Linked DNA regions of Cricetulus griseus. Each later gene encodes a partner of the first gene's protein in a complex. Links are inferred from orthologs where the notes say so. Each region holds a gene or a part of one and is shown on either strand. Other genes may lie near its edges.

Region 1 (3,653 bases):
CTGAAATAGTACTGTCATTTCTACTTATGTTAAAACATTGTAAGTTTAGTCAGATCAACTGAGTAAACAAAATAAAGCAAATGCATCCAAACAGGAAAGGTATAATGAAAATGATCTGTTTATAAATGACATTGGATGTAGAAAAACTTAAAGAATCCACACACAGACTTAGGAGTTTAGCTCAACTGAAAAGCACTTGTCTGATACATATAATGTCCTGGGTTATTTCATCAATATAGGGAAAAAGAAGAAAAAAAAATCACTACAAAACACAGTTAACAATAACAAGTTCAACAAAATAGAGGAATAAATAAACCAACACACAAAAATCAATTCCTGTTTTAAACATATGCCCACCATGGGGGCATACACCTATCCCAGAATGGGGAAGCTGAAATAGTTTGGAGGAAAGCCAGGTCAAAATCAAATTATTAAAACCCATGAAATTCTAAAGTATTTAACTCCATTCCAGCATATTTTTAATTATGTATATAGGTGTATGTTTCTGCATGTACTGCCTATAACACCATTTAACAGGGGCTGGAGAGATGACTCAGATTAAGAGTACTTACTGCTCTTCCAGTGGACCCAAGTTCTGTTCCCAGCATCTGTATCAGGCAGCTCATAACCAACCATAACTCCAGTTTCAGAGGATCCATTGACTCTGGCCTCAGCAAAGACCCCCCATATATGTGCAAATGAAAAACACATACCTACATACATAATTAAAAATAAATCCAAAAAGAAAAAGAGTATTCATAACCTAACAGTTCTAGGTGGGTCCCCACAGCATATGGAAGACCTGGCTGGTGAGATCTGCCTGTCAGTCACTCAGAGATACTGAACACTTCACCCCCAATTTTCTCTCCACTAAAAAAAAGGGGGGGAGTAATAGGGAAGTTGAAGGCAATTAGTATCCTATGCTAAAGATTGTGCTTATAGGGCTGGGATGTCACAAAGTTTCTAGAGTTCTTGCCTACAATACACAGTCTATAGGTTTGATCTCCAACAATGCCAAAACTGGATGTGATATGCCTACATGTATGTTCGTATCAAGATGATATGTGGTACCTTCAGAGGACAGAGGAGAGCACTGGGTCACCTAGAACTAGAGTTAGAGAAGGTTTCAAGCACTCATGAACTCCCATGTGGTTCTAGGAAGTAGATTGCAGCAAGTATGAGGGCAGCCTGGGACAGAGTGAGAGTCCTTGGCTCAAAATTGCAGCAAGTGTTGTCTTTAATCTCAGCACCTAGGAGTCAGAACTAGGTCAATCTCTGTGAGTCCAAAGCCAGATTGGTCTACTAGGCAAGCACCAGGCCAGCCAAGGCTACTTACTTACTAAAACGTGTCTCAACAGCAGCAATGAGTGGATGCAGACCAACAGCAATTTGGTTACAGGCACTTCAAGGCTATAAAAAAATCACACCAAACTACAACAGACATGCTTTCCAAAGTCCTCAATATAAAATGTACTTCTGCAATGCCCTTGAGACAATAACCTATACATCAACCCACCAAAACATATTAAAAAAAAATGTAATGTGGCCAGTTACTAAGCAATTAAACTTCTAAATACATATTCCTCTATATATCACAATGCACTTGAACTGAATGAGTAAGAATATGTCCATTTCCTAATAACTGGAACTGATCACTCACCTGAGACCATGGTCTGTGATCTGATAACATCCAGATAGACTGAGGAACAAAAGTACTCGTCCAGTCTCTTGGTCAGACTTTTCACTCCCAAAATAAATTAAGTCTTTTGCCCTAGGCAATGTAGTCCTTAATGCTTTCCTACACATTGTAGAAGTCGCTGGGAGTGCAGACATAGTCCTTAGAGCTGTCCCTGTGCAGCAGAATGAATGACCACAATATGCAAAGGCTGGAGAAGCACAATGCTGCTGCCAACAAACTCTGGTCCTTAATCCCACAAAGTCCCTATTGTAACAACCAGATGAAGAACAACCAAAGTTGGAGGCTGTTTCCATTACACAGAGACTTTCAACATTTCTGTGTCTCCACTCTACAGCATCTTCGATATCAGCCAAATCTTCAGCATCTAGCATCCACACGTAAGGAGAAGTAAAACTTTCAGAAGATACAGGTTTAGTCCAAGAGTGATCATTGTCTATTTTTTCACCAACACCTTTGTCAGTTAAATTGTGCAAGCAGGCATACTGCTTGGAGGATTGCATGGTAATGTCTTTATTTATCCATGGAGCTGAAGTGGCCTTGCCTGCACTTTTCAAAAAGCCACTCTGATGAGATGTCAGCACTCCAAGAGCTCTAGAAATCTTCTCTAGAGCCATGTCTGTGATTTTTTCACATCCAGACAGATCAAGATGCCGAAGATTCTGGCAGCAACCAAGCCAAGACCAACTACAAGAGGAAAGAAGACTATTAAATTCTCAAAAGCATTAAACTACATACATACAGATGAGCATTAGAATTATTTTAAATACAAAATCATCACTTAAACGTTTCTGGAATTTATATCATTAGGGGATATTTTTAGTGCTAGGAATACAAAAAGATACTAAGACAAGTAATTAAAAAAACAAGTATTATTTCTAACCTAGTAGAGGACAGGATGTGAGAAAGACATGGATGGGAGAAATGTAAGTGTCCTATTCTACAAGTAAACAGTAGAGGAAAAGCAGTGTACACATGGAGGACTCAATACTGCATAATGAAGATTCAGAAGAAGCAAACTCTAGAAATGGGTAGAAGAATCTCTCTCTCCCTCTGAAACAGGATATATCAGAACTTGGAAGAAAGGGGAAGCTAAAATAAGAAGAAAACTAGTAGCCTCTAAGGAAGAAGCATTTGCAAAGAGTGTGGCTTGAACAAACTGGTACTGAACCAGAAAAACAATGAATTAAAAGGGAGTTTTGAAAAATAGCACTTAAAAACTGGAATAAAACCTTGAAAATGGGTAATGTTGATCTAGAAAGTTACAAAGCAAGATTCATAAGCTTAGACACTACGTACAGATGGCTGTAAAAATGTTCTGGATCAGCTGCCATATATAAACAAAAGGCAAGTTACAGCTACACATGGCAGGAATTTAGCAGGAATATAGAATGAGTAAACAGCGATTATGTAAGCAAGAAAATAGAGAATTTTTTACTGATTTCATAGTCAGAATTTATTATATTTGAAAATAAATAACCTGTCAAATGCAGAATCAGAAATATCAGTCTGGGTAAGATCCAGATGTTCCAGGTTAGGACAAAGCTCTAAAATCTGCCTAACCTAAGAAAGAAAAGAAAGTCGCCATGAGGACACATGGAGCTTTAGTTAGATAAGCAACAGACAATACTAAATATAACCCACTGGCTTTTCCTAAGTCTATACTCATACTGAAAGAAAAAACTTAAAGAACACATTAAAATAGATATACTCTGTGCTCAAATTCTTTTGGTTTGTGTGGTATATGTGGAGCCCAGAAGTTAATTCCTATATCTTCCTCCATTTAATTTTCTGATAACTGTTTTCCCTGAACTCTAAAGCCACAGGTTCTGCTAGTGTAGCTGCCAATGAATACCAGGAATCTGCTGTCTCTGCACACAGTTCTCCTGACCCCCAGCACTGTGGTTAGTTACATTCTATTATACACTTATCTGTATATGCTGGGGATCCAAACTCT
Region 2 (3,753 bases), on another chromosome or scaffold:
GACCACATCAGCACAGTCACAGTCCCCCTTGAAGGGGAAAAAATTCCATTGAAACAGTCAAAGTCTACTTCCTTTCCCTGTTTTTCCCCTCAAATCAATTATAGTATCATTATCCAGTATCTTAGTATCTTCTCCCTAGACTCAAAGGCAAAAAGGAAGGTGGTTTTTCAACCCCTGAAAACTGTCAAATTTTCTCATCCTGTCACCACTGAGAAGAGGAATGCACATTATATTGTTATCACATATGCAAATAACTTGACTCTGCCTGAGCTCTTCACTTTACAGCTTTTAGTTTAATACCAGTGAAAATCCAAACAGTCAGGTGAAGAGATGCCTCTCATCCAAGTGCTAACACAGAGAAAGAGATACCCGTTGCTCATTTGTATGAGCAACACAACTAAGGCACACAACAGCATGGAACACAATGCTTGAGACTAAAATGCTGCTGTTGGTAACTGCGCTACATTCACAATACTGATTTGCTTTTTTGTGTTCACTTCCTTTCCCAAATATTGGTAATGTTTAGAAAATAACACAAAAGTACTAAAAATAGTCAATGAAGGAAATAACACATTGAAAACAGGCATATTTTTGTAACATTTGGCTGGAGGCAGAATTACAAAATATACATACGCATTGAGACATGCGTTTAATTTTCCTCCCTCATTTAAAATCGTGCTTATTGAGATTTTAGTTCACTGTTTCTAAGCAAGAGAATAAGATTAAGATTTTGTTCCCGAAATACAATTTTTATACCATGACTGGACTAGGTGGACTAGAAATGTAAGTGTTTGATTCATAGCTGGGTTTATCATCTCTCATATGTTTATGTCCACATCTTTAGCTCAGACTATCGACAGAGTATGCTTTCAAAATAAGTCATTTCCCCCACAAATACATCCTGAATTACCATTTTTTCAAAGCATGTACCAGTATTTTAATACTCAATTTGTAACTTCTCCATTCCCAACTCAGGTTTCCATGCAGATTAATACATATGCATAGACAGACACATGGCTTCTACCAGAACACAATATGATTTCAAAGTAGGAAAAAAAAAAAAAAAAACCACTTAGTACAGAGACTTTGTTTTGTCAAACTCTAGTTCAACTAAGTACATATTTGAAAAATATTCTCAACAGACTGTATGACTGATTATGTGCAAAGTTCTCAGTGCTCTTCACCCACTGGTTTGGTAGTTGCTGAATTTTAGCATAAAACAAGTACTTTTGTTTTGTGCTATGCACAAAAACAGATCAGATGAAGAAAACATTTTTAAAAATCATTACATTTAACATCTTGCTGCCAAGTTTAATTTCTTCATTAAAATGTTATAGGGACTTCTAAAACAAATTTCCAACCCTTTAAAAAAATGTTTTAAAACACAAAGCATATGGTATAACAGATATAAATGCAACTGGGAACACATGACATGCAGACAGCAATGATCACCAAGAGTCTTATCCTTATGGTCAGTTTTGATTAAAAATTAACAAGTTATAATGAAATGAACAGATCCCAAATAAAGACTGATGTATCCCAAATAAAGACTCAAATAGCAGTAAGTCAACTTAAAGGACTGTAAAAAATAGCATTAAAAAATACTTAGGGGTGCATATCCATATAATTTTGGGTAGATAATTTATTTATTAGTCTAGGGGAAATCTAGAGTTGATTGAAGTTGTTTTCAGCATTTAGAAAAGGAGTGTGGAATGTCAGTTGATAATACCTAATTGAGGTTACAGAAGTTATAGTATCATGTAAAATAAGCAAAATCTAGTCTAAATTAATATACCAGTATTCAAGGCTTGTCAGAGAGTCACAGTGGCAAATTACTGAAAAATTACAGGGCTGTACCATAGGAGATATTTTTTTACTAATACATGATACCATACAATCATCTATATTTTGCAGTTATTTATCCTCAGACATGGTGTAAACTTTGGCTGGATTGGTCAGAGGGACTGTGATCTGGGGCAGGTTCTATTACTCAAGATATACTGAGACTAAGGGTAAATTTGACTTACATTACAAATTGGGAATGCTAACTGTGTCCCAATCAATCCTGGAAAGAATACACTTAAAAATTTCTTTATAAATTAGGTAGCCATTCCCAATATTTTAGGGACTAATCTGGATTCTTGTATTTCAACTTGCTATTCTTAAACCAACAAACAGTAGTCCAATTTTATAGGGCAAAACAAAACAAACTGCTTCAGAAAGGCTACTCATATGAATCTTCAACACAAGTTCAAATTCTGTCTTTATTTACAAAATGTTCTGATAAAATATAACCCCCATACTTACAGGCCTCTTCCACGACACACTTCACACGTTGATTTTTAGCAATGTTAATAGCACCATTCGTATATTATTTAAAATCAAGATTTCATTTCAGTCACTACATTGATTCATAATCATTTACATCCATGGATGACATAAACAAGTGTACTGGAATTATCTGCAGCTCCATGGCAAAGGTTCCTGGATCCAGCACAAAAGGCTTTGCAGTTACCAGTCACAAAAGATACCATGGCAAGTAGATACTATGAGAATTTTCGAGCCACAAAGTTTAATAAGCCTCCATGTTTGTACAAAGTTATCTCCACATCATTCTCAAATGATGCAATCACGCTGAATTCTTTTCCAGTACTTGTCTTTTAAACAAACAAAAAGATATGTGAGTGTCAGAGCTTCGAATAAGATCATTTGTATTCACATCCACTAACTCCCCGATTTGTTGCCTCATTTTCCTGGTCTAAATTCCTACATTTTGATTGCCCAAAACCCTTCCATTATTTAAAAACAATTAGCTAAATAGAAAAACAGGTATTTTGATCTCTAATTCTAAAGGACAAGTATCAGACTTTGCAATTCTATAGCATGACTTAGTTTTGCTTCCTTTATGAAAGTTATCACTCACTATTTACTCTTACTATACAGTAAGTGTCCATTACATATAATGTCTCTGTCCTTTTCTTTCTTTCCTTAGTTATAAAGGCTTAGTCTAACCCTGAATGCCGAACTTTAGCTTCTCTCTGGAATGGATTATTGCCTGGGTCAAAGTTAGATCAAAAGAGAAAGAGCTGAAAACCTGGCAGAAGCAACTGAACCTCAATCCTCTACCAGGCATCTTTTTCTAGGCTAAGCAACCAGTTCCTTCTACTTTTCCTCAGACAACATGAGCTCTATTAATAACAGAGATTAACAGCAAAAAGCTACAGCTTACATGCACTGACATTAGCATGCAATTAGAAACAATTCTTACTCAACTTACACCTATCTGAGTACAGAGTACACAATTATGTATTTGGAAATTTTCAGATACCTTCATATTTAATGTAATTCCAGGAGAGAGTTCTTCAGGAAATGATAAAGAAAATACTTCTCTACCAGAGAGTCCCAAGGAGTCTGCATTTTCTCCTGGGAGAAACTCAAGTGGAGCTATGCCAATTCCAATCAAATGATCTTTGTGGATTTTTTCATAACTTTCAGCCAAAACAGCCTTTACACCCTGTAACGGACATGCGTTTCATCACTTTTATTTTTATCACCACCACCACCACCACCACCACCACCACCACCACCACCACCACCACCACCACCACCACCACCACCACCATTAGTTTAGAGAAGATCTTGGTTTGTAGCCTAAATTGGATTCAAACTCATGACAATTCTGCCTCTGGGGTGCTGAGTTTGCAGGATATATCATCATATCTGCCTAAGTATTTTAAAGGGAAAAATAACTAC

What was found. Proteins that work in one complex are often made in the same cells at the same time.
Region 2: the proteins of Fbxl5 (region 1) and Ireb2 are in contact, whole or in part, in a cryo-EM structure (PDB 6VCD), measured with the Homo sapiens proteins. The link is inferred for Cricetulus griseus from reciprocal best matches to the Homo sapiens genes FBXL5 and IREB2. Residues at the interface, in NP_036293.1 of Homo sapiens: Asp656, Glu657, Tyr661, Cys662, Asp663, Asn664, Ile665, His669, Ala670, Asp671, Thr672, Ala673, Ser674, Gly675, Cys676, Gln677, Asn678, Leu679, Gln680, Cys687, Arg688, Ser689, Gly690, Glu691; in NP_004127.2 of Homo sapiens: Asp89, Phe90, Ser129, Asn217, Val220, Glu221, Arg224, Arg228, Ala758, Gly759, Ser760, Arg763, Asn764, Thr777, Pro778, Arg779, Asn782, Ser783, Tyr784, Gly785, Ala786, Arg788.

The regions. Positions count from the first base shown.
Region 1 is NW_023276807.1:112,367,759-112,371,411, forward strand, and holds part of Fbxl5 (F-box/LRR-repeat protein 5), read right to left. Parts: intron 3,260-3,653; coding exon 3,177-3,259; intron 2,384-3,176; coding exon 1,661-2,383; intron 1-1,660.
Region 2 is NC_048597.1:166,526,364-166,530,116, reverse strand, and holds the end of Ireb2 (iron-responsive element-binding protein 2), read right to left. Parts: intron 3,515-3,753; coding exon 3,329-3,514; intron 2,658-3,328; coding exon 2,547-2,657; 3' UTR 380-2,546; downstream 1-379. UniProt on the Homo sapiens protein: RNA-binding protein that binds to iron-responsive elements (IRES), which are stem-loop structures found in the 5'-UTR of ferritin, and delta aminolevulinic acid synthase mRNAs, and in the 3'-UTR of transferrin receptor mRNA.